2 linked regions of the Caenorhabditis elegans genome follow. The protein of the gene in region 1 purifies or fractionates together with the protein of each later gene. This does not show direct contact. Each region holds a gene or a part of one and is shown in the gene's direction. Other genes may lie near its edges.

The links.
Region 2: the proteins of glod-4 (region 1) and pab-2 fractionate together in Caenorhabditis elegans (co-fractionation; one large-scale study listed by BioGRID). This does not show direct contact.

The regions. Positions count from the first base shown.
Region 1 is NC_003281.10:4,147,276-4,158,130, forward strand, and holds glod-4 (Glyoxalase 1), read left to right. Parts: upstream 1-6,323; 5' UTR 6,324-6,325; coding exon 6,326-6,412; intron 6,413-6,458; coding exon 6,459-6,629; intron 6,630-6,675; coding exon 6,676-7,026; intron 7,027-7,074; coding exon 7,075-7,311; 3' UTR 7,312-7,375; downstream 7,376-10,855. Other genes in the region: ABC transporter ATP-binding protein/permease wht-3, read right to left, coding at 179-319, 365-431, 505-623, 670-853, 1,265-1,537, 2,131-2,381, 2,636-3,019, 3,350-3,536 and 3 more; har-1 (Hemiasterlin resistant protein 1), read left to right, coding at 4,782-4,884, 4,937-5,073, 5,186-5,410; C16C10.9 (uncharacterized protein), read right to left, coding at 8,113-8,193, 8,244-8,321, 8,372-8,458, 8,521-8,590, 8,677-8,756, 8,808-8,885, 9,089-9,175, 9,842-10,105. UniProt on the Caenorhabditis elegans protein: Thought to act as a glyoxalase. May remove methylglyoxal from mitochondrial proteins. Has roles in reducing oxidative stress and increasing lifespan.
Region 2 is NC_003284.9:13,520,869-13,531,897, reverse strand, and holds pab-2 (Polyadenylate-binding protein), read left to right. Parts: upstream 1-6,074; 5' UTR 6,075-6,078; coding exon 6,079-6,409; intron 6,410-6,432; exon of another isoform or gene 6,433-6,639; intron 6,640-6,801; exon of another isoform or gene 6,802-6,803; coding exon 6,804-7,116; intron 7,117-7,163; coding exon 7,164-7,926; intron 7,927-7,975; coding exon 7,976-8,224; intron 8,225-8,270; coding exon 8,271-8,693; 3' UTR 8,694-9,636; downstream 9,637-11,029. Other genes in the region: F18H3.4 (Lebercilin domain-containing protein), read right to left, coding at 376-575, 634-709, 869-1,221, 1,344-1,581, 1,637-1,709, 1,759-1,928, 2,478-2,615, 2,665-2,796; F18H3.1 (SPRY domain-containing protein 7), read right to left, coding at 10,498-10,614, 10,802-10,885.

The DNA.
Region 1 (10,855 bases):
TGATTTTTTGTGTTCAATTTTCAATTTCAAATACAGTACTGATTTTGGTATCGGATTCAGGATAAAAGAGCAAAAAGTGACTTTATCTGCAGCCGACACCTCAGGGGGGGGGGGGTTTCAAACAAATATATATTAAGAGCTACAAAAATGTTCAGCAAACAAGTTCATAATAATAAAATCATCGAGATAATCGAATTCGAATGAAAAGTGCAATATATCCAGCCAAATAGAAAAAGATCACAATTGAGCAGAGTCCAATAACATCCAATTGATAGTTGTCTTTGTTGAATGAGAACTGTTTCAGAATCAATTCTCGATACTGAAAAAGGATTAAAGTGGCATGTGTCACAAAAATAGAACTTACGAAAGGATCCCATTTCGGATTGTCCACTTGAGACCACTGATTCACGACGAGTCCTTCGAATCCATATCTGAAAATTCATTTGTCGTGAGTACGAAGCCGTTCAAAAGCGCATACGCCTAGAAACGGGCAAAATTTCTAACCTACACCAACTAGTCCATTGCATCCACCGAATGTAAACTGGAAAGTTATTCGTATTTCCATATAATCCACTCAACAGTGCAAAAAGGCCTGATGCTGGAACGGCAAAAGCAATTGCCAGCTGAAAAAAAACATGTGTTTTGAAAAATCTGATGTTAAAAATTTACCGAAGTAGTCTCGAATAGACAAGCCAAGAAGAGGCCACACGAAGTGGCAGACTGCTCGACGAGCACAGAAATTAGAATACTTTTAGCCACTTGTTGCCAAGTACTATTCAATCCAATCATCCAATATGATATTACAATCATTAGAGCTCCGTCGATTGTAAATAATGGGAGATATGACAGAAATCTGAAAGTTGAATCAGATTTATCAACTGTGAGATGCTCTTCTTGACAACGCAAAAAACCATTATTTGGGCAGAGCCTAATATTGATTTTTTTAATACTTCGTCTTTAGTTTCGTACAGTCACAAAATGCCTACTATAAGCTCTACCTACTACCAACGTGAATCTTGCTCTATTTTTTTTAACTGAAAAATTGATCCAAACACGGGAATTTGCGTCAAATTGCAGAAATGGGCGGTAGGCAGAAAATAGGCACATAGGCATGCAGTGCTAACCATGGAAGCATTGTTTTTCATATGCTCGGATGTTTTACTACCTATCAGTGCACTCAAAATATTTAGTTTTCAAATAAACGTATAGAAAAACTTCCCATATCGTGTCATGTTTCCGTACTTTTCCACTTTTCTAAACTAACCTCGAAATATAATAACTAATTACATAAAACAATCCATCATGATATTCTCTCGCAATTAATGGAAGTTCATGTTCCATAAATGTCATAATTCCAAACATCGTGGAGAAAGTGAGCTCCGCAATTAGAAAATAAAGAGCACTATTTGTGTTCCGTACTCCTCGAGGATCAAGTGGTTGTTGCCAATAAAGAGATCCGATGAATAAGCCCATCACCACTTTTTGAATTAGTTTCATTCGCATTTGAGCTGGAGAACGGATCACATCGAGGCAAGCTCTGAAAAATAATGTTAGAAGCAAATCAAATTTTTATTGCACCATTGGTTTGCAAAGAAAAGCGTGCATCATCATTTACTATATATAAAGCGCTTATTCTGTGTGTCCATAGTTTGTAGTCTATGTAGTCTTTGTAGTCTGTGAAGTTTTGACTTCTGGAGGGATAGTGAGTTGGGGTTAGTGTAGGGATATAGTCGGGGTACTGTAGTGGTACAATAGTGGTACGGTAGGAATACTGTAGGGTTACGGTAGTTTCATAAAAATTAATTTTCAGCTCTAGAAGTCGGGGGCCGCGCCGAAGGTGCGGACCACAGCTGGTTTTTTATAAAGTGCAATCGTGGTAGGATTTCCAAACAAAATTTTGGCAACTTATAGTATCTCGGGTCATTTTATAGATATCAGAAAATGTTGAACTACAAAACTATAGAAAAATACATGATAAATATTTTGTCAATTGGCAAAATTTCGAAAAATCAAAAACAACTGAGCTATGGGATGTCAAAGTTCAGCAACAGTTTGTGGTTCAAACATGGTGCATTTCGTAGTTTACCATAAAGAAGCGTGCTTTAACTATTATTTTTCCAGATAACCAACCTCTTTAACAATGCTCCAGTTTCGGCAAAAAATCCTGGATTCTCTATATATGGAGGTAGCTCTGTAGTCGCAATCACACGTATTTCCACTATAGATTTCTGATGAATTATCGATTTTTCATAAAATTCAATAATTTTTCCAATTGTTTCTCGACTCTTTGTCTCGTTGTTTGGTATCACTGACAATTTGGATTGTATCCATTCAGGTGGATTGAATAATTTCGGAATTGGATGGCCACAGTCAGCGAAAAACTGGAAAAAAGGTTTATTCGAAAATTTGTAAATTCAAATTATAGTTGGGTATCCGAACAATTCGATTTTCGATTCAAAATTATAGGCAGATGAGGGTCTCCACACGACTGAAACATTTCGGTATGCGCCTTTGAAGAGTACTGTACTTTTTCGCAGATTCCACATTCACTAATATTTTTCTGAATCCTCAGTTTCGGTCGTGCCAAGACCTTTTGGCGTGCGCCTTTAAATAATTTCTTAAATTTCAAAATTACCTTCACGGACTCATGAGGTGTTCCCATAAAAGCGGTTTTTCCCATCGACAAGAAAATAATTTTGTCAAATTGAAAAAAGAGCTCGGCAGTAGGTTGATGGATCAGTGTTCGACCGGAATTCGCGAGATTCTTCAAAATTTGTACAACACTTGCAGCCATAAATGAATCAAGTCCAGACGTTGGCTCATCAGCAAAAAGTAGTGATGGATTGGATAATAGTTCACAGGCAAATGTCAAACGACGGGCTTCACCACCGGAAATTCCTTTTACGAGTCCAGGTGTTCCAATTTTCAAATCTCGACAATTTTGGAGTCTCAGCATTTCAATAATCTCATCCACTCGTTCTCTACGTGTATGTTTATTGGCTTTCATCCGAAGTCTTGCCTGAAATTTTTGGGAGTTTGCGCGTAAAGTTTGATGTATCGAGTAGGCGCTGACGCTTGATCTTCAGAAATCGGGAGTTCTGGAGATCAAACACTGTCTTCTGATTATTACAGTTTTAGGTCTTGAAACGGTCAAAGTATTCTCAAATCAAAACTCCAGAAAAGAATGCGCGCCTCTAAAAGGTTACTGTACTTTTCATTCCGTATAGTATTTTTACTTGAAACTACGGTATTCTTTAAAGGCGCACGTTATTTTAGGTGACATTAATTCAAAAAATGTTATTCGTGCCAAGACCAAATACTGTATTTTCGTGCGAAAAAAAATGCTGACCTGGATCATTAAATATTCATCAACAGTCAATGTTGGAATGAAAATCTCCTGTTGTTGTGCAAAACCAGAAATCAATGAAATCTCCTTCCCGATCTTTGTTCCATTCACTTTCACGGTTCCATTCTTCTCCAATCCCTTCATATTCCTGCACATTAGCACATTCATTAGAGTGGTTTTTCCTGCTCCGCTGAACAAAATTGCTTCATAACTATAACTTCATAACTATAACATAACTAAAGTTTTACCTTGCACCCATTAATGCCACCATTTCTCCTGGCTTTGCTATTCCCGAGACTCTATTTAACAGTTGCTTCTGCTTTTTGGAAAATAGCTTTTTCCGAGTTTTTACCCTGAAATATGAAAATATTAAATTCAAACACCCGCGTATTTCTCAGAACTACGGTGTGCAAGCGGTGTTTGCGTACCGCTGCGGAATGCATCACAGCCTACGCGCAAATCATCATCATTTTTATCATTTCTTTCTCGAATTTTCTTTGTTTTTTGATCTTTGTGTTGAAGATTTGTTTATATTTTACAAAAATTATGACTTAAAAATTAGTAAATTGCTCTGGGCGTGTTATGTGATGTTACTATTCGTCAATTTTCCAACTTACTCGATGTTTTCCCACGTGACTGTGATGGGCGTCACCACTTCCGTCAGCTGAAAAATGTATTTTACTTCGTTGCAGCAATTATGTGTATTTTATATGATTTAAACACATTTCTTCAAAGATATATTTGTTGATTTCAATTTACAAATGCATTTCAGACCGAAAAAATACTAAGAATCTCCTCTTGAGCTAAACTCCACGTTTTCAGCTTTACACAACATAATTTTACCTTTTGGCTGCTTGTATCGATTGATTCGTACCCGGCATTCCATCTTTTTCTTTCCGCTAGTAAATCGAATGGCATTTTTGTAGGCATTTGACAAATAAACTATTTGAATTGATTCAATTTTTAATTAAAAATTATAGAAATGAGTAGATTGTTGATTTTCCAATCTAAATTTTATCATCACGGATACGTAAATTTTGAAAATAGAAAAAATAGTCTTACAACGCTTTTATTACGATTTTTATTTGTTGTAAAATGCATAATACAAACTTTGAAAAGCTTGTATTTATATTTAATGATTCTAATATGATTTCGCTTGATTTAGCTCAATTTTTTGTTTCCCTGTCGTATTTCGCAATCTTATCTCTCATCACATTGAACAGACAAGTGATTTTTGAACTATTTCGTCACTACTCGGACAATATAAATGCTCTTCGAGACTAGTGGAGGCTACAGAGTTCCTGATTTCTGTCATTTTTAACTAAAAAGTTAATTTAGAATGTTTCAATTTATTCGAATATTTTATCTTCTGGCTTTTTTCGTTCACAGTTTTAATTATTTGAAATCTTCATTGAAATTCTATCAATTTCAGAAAATGGTTCGTCGGCGCACTGCTTCCCCATCTCCATCGGCCCCAGTTCGATCGGCTCCACGTCCAGCCGCCCAGTCATCCTTCGCCGCTCCACCACCAAGACCAGGTAAAATTTAAGCCATTATTTTTTTTCAAAAACTCTTAAAATAATATTTCAGCCGCCGCTGCTCCAGCTTATCATCCACCAGCAGCTCCAACTCCAATGGGAGCCCCAATGGGTGCTCCATCTCAGGGACCAGGATTGATGAAGCAAATGGCTGCAACCGCCGGAGGAGTCGCCATTGGATCCGCTGTTGTGAGTAGTTTTATTTAAATATATATATATTCCCCGGATTTCGAAGCTAACCTATTTCCAAGACCATAATTTGGGAAACACTTAATTAAAATATCGAATTCTAAAATTCCAGGGTCACGCCGTCGGAGGAATGTTCACCGGAGGCGGTAGCTCTCATGCCGAGCAAGCTCCAGCTGCTGCTGCTGCTCCAGCCGGTGCTCCACAAGCTTCTGGCTACTCGCAGCCATGCGAATTCGAGTGGAGACAATTTGTGGACTGCGCACAAAACCAATCTGATGTTTCTCTGTGCAACGGATTCAATGATATTTTCAAGCAATGCAAGGCCAGATATGCCTAATCACAGTTCCCCCGTATAGATATTGAATTAAGTGAAAACGTTTAGCATTTGGTGGAAATTGATTATTTCTCTCTGAAAACTCAAATTCTACTTTATGGTTATCGCTTTCAATTTGACTTTTTTCCTTTTTTTTGTCGTATTTAGCTCCCTGAATTCCAAATGTTCCGTAGTTTTGTTCTTTTTCAATTTTCCCCAGTTTTCTGTTCGCAAATAAATTGACTCGTTGTTTTCTTGTTTTCCTCGCAGTCTTTCGCACTGATTTTTGAGGTATTTGCCATGTTGTTTTTATATTTTCTGGTTCATTCGCGATTTTTAAAAAGCAAAAAAACACATCAATGAGCGCGCGGGTCGGCCTCCAAACACTCACTATAAATACTGCAGAAATCGCTTCATTTTATTATTCCTCCGCTCGCTTTTTCTCTTTTCTACTGCAAGATTTTTATCGATGTTTCGTTGCTATGCATTTTTAAACTCCCCGAGATTCAATTTTTAATCTTTCGAGAAAAAATAGAGTTTTCAATAATATACGATAATTTCTTATTAATTTAGAGAAATATTAATTTTTTAAAAAATTTAAATCGATATATTTTGAAAAACTATAGTTTTTTCGCCATATGGTATATTTTCCGTTAATTTAATCTATCTTTTCAGTAACTCACAATATTCTCCTCCATATTTATTTTATTGAATATTCCAAAATTTAGAACCCATATACTTTTAATATTTTTAGACAATTTTTAAAAATATAAATATACGGGTACGGTAGCTTCGAAGCTTTGGTCGTTTCGAGACCCATTATTGTATTTGTACTTGAATTTCCTACAGTAATCTTAAGTGAGCGCGGCGAGACCCATTCATTTGAGTGAACATCCCTTGAAGTTAATCGAAAAATAATTGTATTATTATTCTCCAGAAATGACAGCTCGCGCTCTTCACTACGTCTTCAAAGTGGCGAATCGTGCCAAGACCATCGACTTTTTCACAAATGTTCTGAATATGAAAGTGAGTATTCACATAATTTTTATTTAAGCTGTAAATTAACTCTCAGGTTCTTCGCCACGAGGAATTCGAAAAAGGATGCGAAGCAACTTGCAATGGACCATATAACGGACGATGGAGCAAGACAATGATTGGATATGGCTCAGAGGATGAGCATTTTGTTCTAGAGATCACATATAATTATCCAATTCATAAGTATGAGTTGGGTAATGATTATAGAGTAAGAAAGCTTGAGTCTTGATATTATTAATACAATTTTATTTCAGGCAATCGTCATCGATTCTGATCAACTCTTCGAAAAAGTCGAAAAAATCAATCATCGTAAATCTGGATGTGGAAGACTAGCTGTGAAGGATCCAGATGGCCACGAATTCAAGATCGGAAAGGCTGATCAATCGCCAAAAGTGTTGAGAGTTCAAGTGAATGTTGGAGACTTAGAGAAATCCAAGAAATATTGGAATGAAACTCTCGGAATGCCGATTGTTGAGGAAAAGTCGAGCAGAATTCGAATGAGCTATGGTGATGGACAGTGTGAGCTGGAGATTGTGAAGTCTCAGGATAAAATTGATCGAAAAACTGGATTCGGAAGAATTGCATTCAGTTATCCTGAAGATAAGGTAATTGTTGATATTTTCTATTAAAAATCTAAATATTTAATTTTCCAGCTCGAATCTCTCCAAGACAAGATCAAATCAGCCAATGGAACTATTATAAACGAGCTCACAACTCTCGAAACTCCAGGAAAAGCCGATGTTCAAGTTGTGATTCTTGCCGATCCAGATGAGCATGAAATCTGTTTTGTTGGTGATGAAGGATTCAGAGCTCTCAGCAAAATTGACGATAAAGCCGAGTCTGAGCTCAAGGAGCAAATCAAAAAGGATGACAGCGAGAAGTGGATCTAAATTTTGTCATTATATTTTTATTTCCAATGTATTTTCCTTATATAAATTCGAACATTCCTAGAAATTATTGTAGTCAATTTTTCAGAAGTTTCAGGGAAGATCTTTTCATTCACTTGACCACCAGAGAAAGCAATAAAAATAGGGATTTTTGAACAATCTGGAAATTGAAATTTTCTTTGTGTTTCAAAGCATGTTAAACCTTGCTTTTTCTGAATAAGAATGCTCTTCTTGGCTTCTACATGTTTTTTATCACAGCTGTTTTATTACGGGAATACAAAATTCAGAGAATGCGTATTGCGCAACATATAAGACGCGCAAAATATCTCGTAGCGAAAATTACAGTAATTCTTCAAATGACTACAGTTGCGCTTGTGTCGATTTTTGAAATTAATTTATTTTCGATTAGTGACAGCGATATTCCTTTTTTTTTGCTTAATTATAATATTCTATCCATAAATCAATGATTAAAAAACATAAAAATCGAGCCCGTAAACCAACCGACACAAGCGCTACAGTAGTCACTTAAAGAATTACTGTAGTTTTCGCTACGAGATATTTTGCGCGTTCGCAATACAAATTCTCAGAACTTTGTGTTGTTAATATTTATACTTACAGTCTATCGTAAAAAATCTGAAACTTTCGTCATACAAAATTTCCGATTTTTTTAGAAGCATCTTCAGAAGTACGCAGGTTTCCAAAATATACTTAAATCAAGATTAAACTCATTAAATTTCGCTCAAAATATATTTTATTCACTCAATATTCAAACATTCCAATGGAAAACAAAAAAAACAATAACATTTAAAAACGCTTCAGATAAATTCCAAAAGCATCTCGAATTGAATCAAAGAAACGTTGATCAATGTTCCGAAGGTTTCTCCTCTGAAAAATATAAAAATTAATTTCACAAAAATTCAAATTTATTTGCTCACCAATCTATCCACCACAATTACGTCAAAGCTCTCGGCTGTCCATTCTTGAAATCCTAGTTGATGCATGAGAATGCAGAACTGAAATTTATTGATCATGCAACAGGCTGATACCCTAGCATCTAGCTCACTTTAATCAGAAACTGTGGAGGTGCAGGTGGTGTCCCGTGTTTCTTGTGAAACAAGTTGATGTACTGAAACGCCTCGCCAAGGACAACCTGGAAATAAAAAGAAAAACTTTCAAAAATTAAAAATATATAATAATTTAATTTAAATTTACCTCAAACTGTCTTTGTGACTCTTCTTTTTTGACGAAAAAATCCGGACCATTTCCCATTTCGAAGCGACTACTGAAAAAAACATTTTTAAAATTTTCACTCTAGAAATTAATATTCAAAAAGTGGGTTCTTCTGAAAATAAAGTTTAAAAAACATACTAAAATTCAATAATTGATTTCAAAGAAGGATAATCCGAGATAGTCTTGATGGCCGGATAGTTTTCCTTTATACGGAGAGTCTAGAAATTCAATTCTTAATTTCAGCTTCTCATAAACTGAAAATTCAATACCACAACGTTACCAAGCTGTTGCAGATAAATCGGGCCCATTCTTTGACAAGTCGCCTGTTTGTACAAAAAGTAGATTGTCTGAAAATTCAAAATTTAAAACATAATAGTTTTTTTGGAATTTTTTAAATTGTACATCATTTTATATTAATTTTTTCCAAGGTTTTCTAAATATTAAACAAACATTTAAGAAAATTCTAATTTTCAATACCTCCGGGGGATTTTACAAATAGTTTATGTATTCGAGAGTTTGGAAAATTGGTAAAGTATTATAGAAAACTTACACTACTGTAGAACACGGGCGGTGGCGGTACCACTTTATTTTTGAGGAATTGGAAATCAATATGTTGCACGACTTCCTCTTTTAAGAGCTGAAAAATTTTGTAACTACATACATATATGTATTCCCTATTTTGCTTCCCAGAAATATGGCAGTTTTCAAGTTACCTGATTTTTCTAAATTTTATATGCAACGTTTTTCGGTGCTTTTTTGTCATATTTTGAATTTTTCATCGTTTTGCGATATGTTTTGTTTTTATGAGCTTATATGAACCTATCAGAGGTTTCCCTACAATCAGATGAAAACGTTGTTAGAACGTAGTACGTAGGCAAGTAGGTAGGCACTTAGACAAACAGGCAGGCTCCGGACAAAAATATTAAACTTCTGCGATAAATACAAAGACTGATATTTCATTTTCATCGCAAAAACCTAACCACAAAAACCACAGCTTTCAAAAAACAATTTGGAAAAACCGGGCCTATACCTGCCTGCCTAAGTGCTGACCTATGTGCCTACATGAAGCCTACCTAATTCCCCTACCTGCCTATAGTTCTAGAAAAAAATTTAACTGATTCTAGACGAGCCTTTCTCAAAAAATCGCCAAAAGTAACAGAGTGCTAATAAATGCAAAAAAAACATGTTTTTGGAGAAAAAGCTCTACTAGATTTTTTAAAAATTATTGAAAAAAATCGGAAAAACCGCGCCGCGTGTTTGCAAGCTACGCCCCGCCTCCGCTATCGGCAAGAAAATATCATACCATCATATCACTGATCAAATAAACATCTTCTCCATACGGAATCAACATTCTTTGAATATCAATTGACATTCTTCTAATATACTCTTGCCTCTGCTCAACAGATTGTCTGATTGCAACCATCAATTGTGGAGATGGAGCAATGACACGATTCTGAGTATTTTCTTGTTCAATTATCAAATTGTTCACTTCACGAGTTATCTGCCGGTCTTTTTCTTTTTGATTGTTACGGGTGTCTAAAATGCAAACGATTTCGTCGTCGGACATGGTGCAACGGACCTGAAAGTCTCTGGAAATTAATTAATGGAAGTATGAAAGTCACGCAAAGGAAAGTAAGAGTATTTCAGTAAATAAAAATAATATTAATCGTCAAGAAAAACATAAAAATTGGGTTAATGTGAAAGATTATTCTAAAAATTGGGTTCTGTGTAAAGAAGGTAGTTTGATATAAGCAATCTTGAAGGAGGTGTCACTTTTTTCCGCATTTTTTGTTTTTAAAAGAGCTTTAGTCTGATGAAAATGTTTTATTTTGTTTATTAATTAAAAAATACATTAAGATTTTTTTTTATTGAAATTTTTTTTGTTGAAATTCGAAAATTCCGAAAATTTCAGATTTCGAATTCCCCAACTTTTTATTTTGGCAATTTTCCTCCATTTATTGAATATAATTTTTTGAATCGACTTTTTTTCCTTACAAACCTTTAACTACAGTCCCTCTAACACTACAGTAAACCAGTAATTTTAAGGGTTATTCAGGTAGGTGAAATCAAGAAAAACTGAAAACTTTTGGAAAGCACCAAATTAAAAACAAAAAACTTCAAAGAAATGAAAAGACAAATAAGGATTGGCGAGAAAAAAAGAATGTGAAAACGACACGAGGTGCTTTGATGGTGGTATACACATGTGTTTCACACGAATTATGTCCCATTCTATTGATTTAATAATAAATTGAACAAAAGGCGGATTGAAAAGTCATGGGAAGATTGGAAAAAGTATAATAGAATGGGAGATTACGGT
Region 2 (11,029 bases), on another chromosome or scaffold:
AAATAACAAAAAAAAATAATACCGGATCATTTGAGCAATACAAATGGAACAAAGTAGTATGATAAAATGATCAAAGTGAAATTTAAATTAATCACTAGAAACTACGAGACTAGATCTACTTGTGAGGAAGTGGGTGGTGATCGGAAGTGAATAAGGAGTATCAAATTAAATGAATATATGGCATGAAAAATAAGAGAGAGTTTCAATTTTCAAAACAACTCATAGAGCCTAGAACATAACAGAAAGAAAGGGGAAATGGTAACCCGGAAAACAAATTTTGAAGGAAGGTCGAGGGAACGATAATACAAGCACAAAATGGAGATTTTTAATTTTTAAATACAATACGTAGTAAAGGCATCAATTCTCAAATATCAACTACACTGGGCTGTCTTTGACCTCAGACGGTGGAGGCAGTGGGGCCACGAATCGTTTCGGTGAGTTGTCAGTTGTGAGTGGTGATGGACAGCTCGTTCTGCTAGAAGATCGGTAGAAGCTGGACATGCTCCCAACATCAGAAATGGAGTCATCCATGTGTGAGTCCATGTCGCTTGCAGTGCGTGAGACTGATAGGAATTCTGAAATTGCATCATTGTTTGAGAAGGTGTCGAAAGAAAAAGTGTTTCGAAATCTTACCCATCCCGCCTAGCTCCTCTCCCCAGTCCAGTTCGTTGGTGGTTTGCTGGTTGTAGAAGTCGAGTTTCTCTTTCACCTGAAATAATGTGAGTTTGGCGTTTTTTTTTTTAATTACATACTTAGTACCCTTTTCCAACAATTAGCACATAATATTCTCACTGTCAAAGTTGCGAGAAATTGTTCTCAATATGTTTCAAATGTGTCTTTTTCTAACTCTTTTATTCCTAAAACTCACTGCTTTAAGGGCTGCCCCGACGTCGGCATAGACCTTCGGAACGTCCACATTGACCGATCCAAAAAGATTGTAGATGTCAATGTTATGAGAAAGTGGCTGCGTTGGTTTTTTGAAGTTCCTCTTAACAATTGGAGCTGGAACCACTTTTTGATTAAGCTTGATTAGTTGTGGTGGGAGCTCATCGGCGGAATCATCGTCATCATCGATGAGTGCTGGCGGTTGAGTTGTTGCTGGTTTGACTATTTCATCTTTCTGTAAAGTTGTTGGAAGACGCTCTAAGTACTTGATAAGACGATTGCAATCCCGTTTTTGTTCGTAATATGGTTCCAATTCCTCCACATCGATTGGCGCTTCTGAAAAAAAAATTGTCTTAGATATTGTGAAATGTGAAAGTTCTAGTTGACCAATTTCGAATGCATACGTTTCGGTCTCTGACAACTGGAAAAAAATGATTTCGCAACCCAATCCGACTTACTTATTTTTCGTGCGCTTGGGAATGACATTGGCACGCTATTGCCGTTCAGTTTGTTGTCGTTCAGCCAGTTTTTGTATTCCTCTCTGTCATCCTCGTAGGTGGATATCAAAGATTTGCGGCGGGAATTTGCACCTTGTAGTTGATGCTTGAGGTCCCGGATCTCATCTTCAATGTGTCGCCGCTCTTGCTTCATTTGCTTAAATCGGTTCTGGCAGCTAGTGAGTTCAAAGTAGACTTTCTGAATTTGATGGGATGAGTACCACAGTCTCTTTTATCATTAATAATATACTAACGTGTTTCTGTATGCGATTCTTCTCCAATTCCTGATCCATTCCTTTACGATGAGATGTGATTTCAGCCAATGACCTGAAATCATATCGCTATATTTTTTCAACTAAGAACATGAAAATCGTACTCCAACAACTTTTTATTTCTCTTCAACGCATCGATTTCCGTTACTAATGCCTGTTCATCGCGAGCCGACAGGTTCCGCTTGTATCGTTCCTGATGCTCCAGGAGCAGGCGATCTAAATGATCTTTGTTTCGGATGCGGCAATCGCGCTCCAAATCCAACTGCTTTGTTCTCTGTAAAAATTTTAATGTACAGTTTTGTTTCACAATGATCACTGCACAAAGGCATTATTCTATTATTAATATTTATTTTATCAAGTTGAATAACTACAGGTTTTGTTCTCAATATTTGTAGGTCACAGTAAATTTACAACTTTATTTGTAAAAATCTATTGTTTTTTTTTTTAATTTGATTAGTTTATATTATTGTTCCATGTACATCGTTTGATACACAAATTTTACAAAGAAAAAGCTGAAAATCCCAGATATTTTCTATTATTTTGATATTAATTTTAATTTTTTCAGCATCGTTGTTTTACAAAAAAAAACCCCCAGAAGCATTTAGACTTTTGTACTACTCAGCCTGGATTGCAAAGACGGTTTTAAACACACAAGCGTTGACCGCATTGTATGCTCTCAGCTGTTTCCCTTCGGCTCGCATTAGTTGTTCAGTGCGGTACCAACGCGTAACTGCCCAGTTTAAAACACACAGTTACTTTTTTGTAATTTTTTCAACATTTCAATTGGGCAACTATTTGCATCATTTTTGCTTCATGATCTTACCTGGCTATCAATGTTCACTTTGATCTTATCCCCGTCTCCTTTCAACTGTGCAAGATCAACTCGGAGTTGGTTACGTTTGTTTCTCATCTCGTTTTCAAGTGGGTTGGCATCTAGGCATGTTTTGCATCGCATTTGGATCTAGCAAATTAATAAAATTCATAAGAACAATTCTGAAATTGAATCCAACCTGAGATCGAATCTTTCGAATTTCCGAGTGGAACCCCTCCAAATCATTTTCAAACCGTTGACGATCTGGTGGGTTTGTACCAGTCTTTTCATTAACTTCTATGATATCATCTAGTGGTCGGTTCTCATGCATTTCTTTCCTATTACCTAGAAAAAAGAACGAATTGGGCGAATTGTGGATTTGAAGAATTCCTGACAAGAATAATAAACACATATGCAAAACCAAAAACAAAGGTTGGAGAAGCGATCCTTGAAGAAAAGATGAAAATGACAGTGAGAGAAAAGATAGAAGAGAGGAGTTGGGAGTGATAAGGCAAAAAGAAAAAAACGACGAAAGTATGAATAGTGAGGAAAAAAGGAGAAAAAAGTGCACTTGTGTAGGTGATAGAAAAAGTGGAGTTTGAAACGGCGCGAAAATCGGTTGATCAAACAGTTTTATCACGTGGAAAACCCCGGAGAGTGACCATCGAACCTTCTGGCGGAGACTCCGATTATTTATCAAGGATGATTCATAGCCACTTTGATCAGTATTAAAGTTTGCAAGGCCAGAGTAGTCTTTCTTATCAGATGGACGGAATCTTGTGTCTCTATTGTGGTTTATGCACTCGGTAACACATTCTGATTTAGCTATTTGATTCTTCAAAAAAAATCTATAAGAAAAAAAATATATAAAACACAATCTAATCATTCAAAATGACATACTGTTTTAAGAACACAGTGATTTATGTTGAAATGTTTTGATGAAAATGATTGTTTTTTATCAAGCTGAATAACAAAATCTAAAAAGCCAATTGGTAACCCGCCAAAACCATTAAGCTAGGATAGACCAAAATTTAATTGAAGCAATAAAACTTTAAGAATAGTGTAAGTACGCCTTGATTAGAAAGCCTAACGCTGGTCATCAAGTTCAATTTCAATGCAAACAGCGATAATTTTTTAACTAACTTGTCTCTGCATAACTTAACGTCTGAATACTTCGATGGACTATTTTAGGTGCTTCACGTTTAGTTGTAGACTGAATAATTGTATGAAAACTCAATACTCACATCTGAAAAACTATTGCAAGCCAGTGAAAAGGTGCAAGCTTTGATTTTTGCATCATATCTTCAAATGCGAAATCAGTGAAATTTTATACATATGTATTAGATATGTATCTCAATTTGGTTTATAGTTTACAGAGCCTACTAGCAAAATAGATTGGAAAATCTGTAGAAATATATTTTCTGTTTCAAAAAACTGAGGCCACTACTCGCAGTCTCCATGAAAACTAAATCTGACCGCCTTAGTCCTATTGTGTCACATTACACAACCCTTAGCAACATGTTTGTTCGCAAATTAGTGATATGAGACAGTTGGAGAAGCGCAGACATTGAGCGTGTGAACATTTTCGAAAATATTCGAAACAACTTGGCACGGGGCGCCACACTGATTGAAAATACTGAACATTAAAATTCGAAAATCAATAAACAAGTGTCCTACGTTGCCTTATCCAAAAATAAGAATGGAAGACTATCGTCAGGTCTTGTGACTTCTCAGACTTTTTATGGAAGCTTCCCCGGTCCCTCAGTCCTTATCACACGTCACATATAACCAGCAAGCCAAAAACACATTGCAAAAGAGGAAAGAGAGTGAGAGAAAAGAGACATAGAGATAGCCAGAGACACACACATAAACCAACGGACACCAACGCTGCCTGTTGGGGGCAGCAGCAGCGTTTTCGCTTCCCCTCCAACCGCCCATACGGACTCTGCGTATCACATCTCTCGCTTCTGCTGCGACCTCTCTGCGTAGCGTGCTGAGCGACGCGGACGGACTAGGCACACACACACGACTGACACGTCTATATTGTTGTGTCCCGGAGAGACTATCTACCCCTCCACTGTAACCTTTAAATTCCCCAAAAAACCCAAAAAAATTAGACTACTTTAATCAAAAACTTCAACAAAAACCAAAAAAAAAACTCAACATCAACTAATATTCTTGCTGATTGGAAATCATCACCTGCAAACGAACCAACAAAGAAGTAAGTTTTTTTTTGAAGTAAATATGTAGAAATGCTTGAATACTCATCAACCAAGTTTCAATAAACCTGTCCTATCATTATCGAACGTCTTTCAGCTCTTCCCATATTCAGACTTAGCAATAAGTGTTTCTCACTTCTCTGTAAATTTCGCAATTATCGAACAAAAACACCATATGACGGAGACTGCAAATGATAAAAATAGGCAAAATAGGGCCCAGAATCACATGTTTCTATACAATAACATAGGTGTCCTTTTCCTTGCTCGCTATCATTCTGTTTTCCAATTTTGTTTCCGTTCGGTTCCAACACGTCAAAAATTGAAAAACGAGGGCGCCGAGCGAGAGCGAAGCAGCCATAAAACCGTCATGTTTATATGTTGTGGCAGTTGAAGAGAATGCATGAATCATCTCACTGGGCCCCTCATTCGCTCCTCTCCTTTCGCCGCAGTCCGTTTAGTTATTGTCGAATCATCACCGCCACCAATCATCACAACACAGCCGCATTCCTTGTCCTGCTTCTCTAGCGGCTCAGATAATATCAATCGTCTTCTTCCTCCGTGGTGTAAGGAAGAGGGTGAGGCTTGTGTCGACGACAGTAGATCCTGAACAGATAGCGAAGAATAGTAAGGGGGAGGGAGATCAAAAACCAATCAATTCGATAGGCGATTGTCAATACACGAGTGAATTAGAATCATCCATAAAACTATACATTTTCTACAGTATTCTCTCCCACTCTTTTTGGTTTCCTTTCCTGTTAATTCGTTTCACTCTCTTCTTCTCCTCTCTCGGTTTTTTCTTCTTCCGCAAAACTATTGTCGCTATCTGTTGCGCCTGACGCGATCGTTCGTCGTCCCCTCGCTCCCGAGGCAGGCCCATGCTGCAACAGCAATATATCTATATATTCAATAGACGATAAAAAGCAGCGGGGCAAAAAGAAGAAAAAGAGAAAGAGTGTTGGCTGGGCTTCTTCTCCTTGTTCACTCCCGGTTTTCCATCATTGACTCCGATGTTTTTTTCTTTTCCTATTGCCTTAGCATCGGATGTTTCACATCCTAATCTTTTTACGTTCGACTTTCCATGTTCCTTATGGATTTCTATAATCTCGTAAAAATACAGTAGAAAGCAATTTTCATGCCCATTCCAACACAATAAAGATACGTCGTTGACACGCCAGGGCATTTGAGCATTGCACCCAATTTCCACTCCATTTATAAATGTGGGCGAAAGATGAGGAAAGGAGGGCTGCACGCCTTTTTTCTTACTTGCCTTCATTCACGCCTTCCCTTGTTCAGTCACTTTAGTTTCTCCCATTTTGCTCATTCTTATGTGAATTTGGTTTCACAATACATTTTCCTGCTCTCGTCCTTTTAGCAATTTTCTATTTTTCAGTACGATGGCCCAAGTTCCACCGCCAATGACTCAAGTGGTTACCAGTGCTCCACCACCGACCGCAGCAGCAACCGTCGTCGCCGGTGCAGTTGCCGGACAACCACAAGCCGTCATTCAGCAGGGTCCACCGCCAACAAACATAGGATACCCGCCAAATGCAACCTATTCGATGGCTTCACTCTACATTGGTGATCTTCATCCCGATGTTTCAGAGGCTATGCTATTCGAGAAGTTCAGTATGGCGGGACCGGTGCTTTCAATCCGAGTGTGCCGCGACAATACCAGCCGCTTGTCGCTCGGGTATGCCTACGTCAACTTCCAGCAGCCTGCTGATGGTGAGTTTGCATTTTGATTAAATTCAGAAATTTTGTGAGATAGCTCTTTAACATCTGAGACGCAATGCACAGCGAAAGGGAAGATTGTTGTATGCACAACAGGGGACGTTGTACATATATCACATGAACACACCAGTACCAAACCGTGCTCTCTCACCTCGCAACAACAGTCCCCGTTCTGCTCACACATCTCTCTGTGCAGAATTGCGCAATAAAGAGAGCCACTAGAAGAGTTGCCACGTCACAGTATGACGTAGTCTGTGGGAAACAAGTGTTTATAGAATGCATACCAGGTGCTAGAAAATTTGAATGCTTGTTATATAAAAATGAGGAAGACAACTCATAAAAATATGTTTATTTCAATTTATCACATGGAATATAATAATTCTTACAGCCGAGCGCGCCTTGGACACTATGAACTTCGAAGTCATCCACGGACGTCCAATGCGTATCATGTGGTCCCAACGTGACCCTGCTGCTCGCCGTGCCGGAAATGGAAACATCTTCATTAAGAACTTGGATCGTGTCATTGACAACAAGTCCGTCTACGACACTTTCTCGCTTTTTGGAAACATTTTGTCTTGCAAAGTTGCCACCGACGATGAAGGAAACAGCAAAGGATACGGATTTGTTCACTTCGAGACTGAGCACTCTGCGCAAACTGCCATTGAGAAAGTCAATGGAATGCTTCTTTCTGATAAGAAAGTGTAAGTTTACCCTATTGAGTTGCAAGTTTAATCGTTTAAATTTTCAGCTATGTCGGAAAATTCCAACCTCGCGCACAACGCATGAAGGAGCTTGGAGAGAGTGGCCTCAAGTACACCAACGTCTTCGTCAAGAACTTCGGCGAGCATCTCGACCAGGAAAAGCTTTCCGCAATGTTCTCCAAGTTTGGAGAGATTACTAGTGCCGTAGTGATGACCGATGCGCAAGGCAAACCAAAAGGTTTTGGATTTGTCGCTTTTGCTGATCAGGATGCCGCTGGTCAAGCTGTTGAAAAACTCAACGACAGCATTTTGGAAGGAACTGACTGCAAGCTTTCAGTCTGCAGAGCTCAAAAGAAGTCTGAGCGTTCTGCAGAGCTCAAGAGAAAGTACGAAGCTTTGAAGCAAGAGCGTGTCCAGCGTTATCAAGGAGTAAACTTGTACGTCAAGAACATTGAGGAAGATCTCAACGATGATGGTCTTCGTGATCACTTTTCTTCCTTCGGAACAATCACTTCTGCTAAAGTTATGGTTGATGAGAACGGAAGATCGAAGGGATTCGGTTTCGTGTGCTTTGAGAAGCCAGAAGAGGCAACCGCTGCCGTCACTGATATGAACTCCAAAATGATTGGAGCCAAGCCACTGTATGTGGCCCTTGCTCAACGCAAGGAGGATCGTCGTGCTCAGTTGGCATCTCAGTACATGCAAAGACTTGCAACTCTTCGCATGGGACAGCAGGCCAGCGGAGTTCCAGCAATGACTCAGCTCTACCAGCCAGGACAACAAGGATACTTTGTTCCAAATCCAATGAATGTACGTTTCTACAAAGTTAATTCAAATGTCTTAATTTCTTAATTTACAGGCTCAAGGGCGTCCAGGATTCCAGCCACAATCTGCTCAAATTCGCGGACCACCAGGACAACGCGTGTTCCAAAACCAGATGTTCATGCAATATCCATTCAATCAGCGCCAAGTTTACCCACAACAACAGGGACGTCCACCAATGCGAACCAACGATGGTCGTCCACAATATGGAATGGCTCCAAGACCAGCCGGAGCACCACGTGTCGGAGGACCTGGAGTGCAGATGGGAGGGGCACCTATTCGTCAAGTAAGCTTTAATCCAGATAAAATGAATACTACTCTCTATTTTTCAGCAAGGACCAGCCCCACGCGGAGCACCACAGAAGCCGTTCTACCAAGGACCACCACGCCAGCAACAACCACAACAGCACTCCCAGCAACCAGCACAACAGCCAGGACAACAAGGACAAGGACAATCCGGAATCGTTATTCACGGACAGGAGACTCTTACCTCCCATATGCTTGCTCAAGCTGCTCCACAAGAGCAAAAGCAACTTCTCGGAGAGCGTATCTATGCTCTTATCGAGAAGATGTTCCCGAACCACAAGGAGGCCGGCAAAATCACTGGAATGATGCTGGAGATTGACAACGCCGAGTTGATCATGATGCTCCAAGACGCTGAGTTGTTCAGAAGCAAGGTCGAGGAAGCCTTTGGAGTGCTCACCAATGCTCAGAGTGCTGCTGCTTCTACTTCTGCTCCAACTGCTAAAAACTAAGCTCTCTAACTTCATCTTGCATGCCAAGGTCGTAATATTCTCTGATATTCAGAGCAAAAATTGTTGGCTATACTTTTTGGTACTGAAAGCAGTATTCATTCTGCATTTCATAATTTCTCATCCAATTTTTTTACCTTCCCATTTCCTATTGTACTTTCTTCAAATAATCTTACAAAAAACCCCAAAAAAATTTAAAAATCTGGAGAAAAAATTAAAAAAAAAGGAAAAAAATTCAAAAAATTCAAAAAAATGCTTCTATTTTTCTTTATTTCAATTTCACATTTCTTGCTTGGTATTTAAAATTGTCTTGAACTGCGTTGAAGCTGATTTCTTTAACGAATGTGTATAGTTTCATCTGAAAATCCCTAAAAAAAAATATTTTTTCTTTTCTGGTCCTCTCTCTTGTCTCACTTCAATCCAATTCAACATTTATGTGTACTTTGTTACTTTCTCCAGAATTTCGGTGTTTTTTTTTTTTTCATCAAAAACTTGGAAACCTAGAGATTGCAACTAATTTTTAACATGGTAATTTGTTCGGCCTTGTAATGTACTCCGAAGCCCAAGCTCAGAACAAATCGTCTCACCCCCGCCAGCCAGCAATTTCATTGAAATTAGATGCTTCTTTCTGAATGCTTTGATATTTCTGTGCAACAATGTGCAACTTTGTCATTTCCCGCCTAATAATATGCTCTTTGTGTTAATAAGTATATTCCCACTTATATAAGTTATTGCAACTCTCACCCCTCCCCATCCTCCCATAAAACCTAAAATTTTTCTTTTGTACCCCAATTTGTACCCACATAACAATTGATACATCCATTCTGTGGTTTTTCCGATATCCCAACATCTTATCGTTTTCCCCAGAATTTTTCTAATTATCATTATAATAATTTTGTTGTAAACTTTTTGAATTAAATAATGATAAATGTATCTATAAAAGGAACTCATCTGTTCTATTTTCAAAATTACTTTCAAAATGCGGAGAAACACTCAATAATGGTGACCTGATATTTAATAACAACAGGATTACTTGAATATAACAAAACATAATGCGGCATCAAAAATCAATTTTCTTCAATTTGATCAATTTGCAAAAAATCTGAACAAGTTCTTACCTCTGAACTCTGAACTTTGAAAATGAATATCTGACTTAAAATGAACTTTTTGAAAATGTTTCTTCGGGGACTTGTTTCAAATTTTAAGCGCTTTCAGAATTTAATAACAAAATTTTTCCAGGTGCCAGAAGTTTTAGGTTCAATCCAGAAAACTGAATTTGAGCCATATAAATGACCGCATTTGTTTATTAGGAGATTTATTTAGTTTGTGTAACTTTGAAAATTAATATCTGACTTAAAATGAACTTTTTTGAAAATGTTTCTTCGGGGACTTGTTTCAAATTCTAAGCGCTTTCAGAATTTAATAACAAAATTTTTCCAGGTGCCAGAAGTTTTCAGTTCAATCAAAAAAACTGATTTTCAGGATCAATTTTAAAGTTATGAAATGTAAGTAAATATGAAAACAAATAATCGGTTATATTGCATCTAAAAAAGTGCGGTCAGCCACATGCCTAAAATTTCAGATTTTCTGTTTGAACTGAAAGTTTGTATTAAGTTAGTATTTTTTACTCTCCATCACGGAAATTGTAACTTACAATTTTGAAGTGTTAATTTCAATACTATTTGATAATAATAAGAACATATTTGTTTAGATTAAATTAAGGAGTTTCAATGAAATTCAAAATCATTATTGACAAGTCACAAGAGCGAAGGAAATCACGGTCAATGGTTTTAAAATCAGGCAAGATTTATAGAATAGTTTGTTCCACGAGAATTTCTCCGAATCCCGCTGGTGGAGCTTCCGTGAAGTTTTTGAATTTGAGATCGAGAATTGCTGAGTCGTCAACATACACCATAGGGTAAACCTGAAAATGATAACAATTTCAATAAAAAAATTGATTAGGAAAATTGTGGTTTGTGTCCAAATGGTTGCATTCCAAGCCAGGGATCATATTAAAAAGTTGAGCGCAACGAATGAATATTGAATCTTAATCTTATTAGGCACTGTTCCTAAGTGATTTCTTAATCCCTTCAAATAATCTCTTGGCATACCGGGCCTCGAACTCCAGTTATCACATCTTCCACTGCTTTTCCGTTTACATAGAACTTGAGCTCCACGTGGTCATATGCAACACCCTGAAAGGTTGAGTTTTTAACAGATTTACTTGGTAACAAATAGTTTAATACTTTTGTTTTTTTTTCTTTAAACTTCAAATTATATTTGAGTATTTGCAATCGTTACTTGAAATTGTATCACATTATTTGTATTCCATTGTAAGA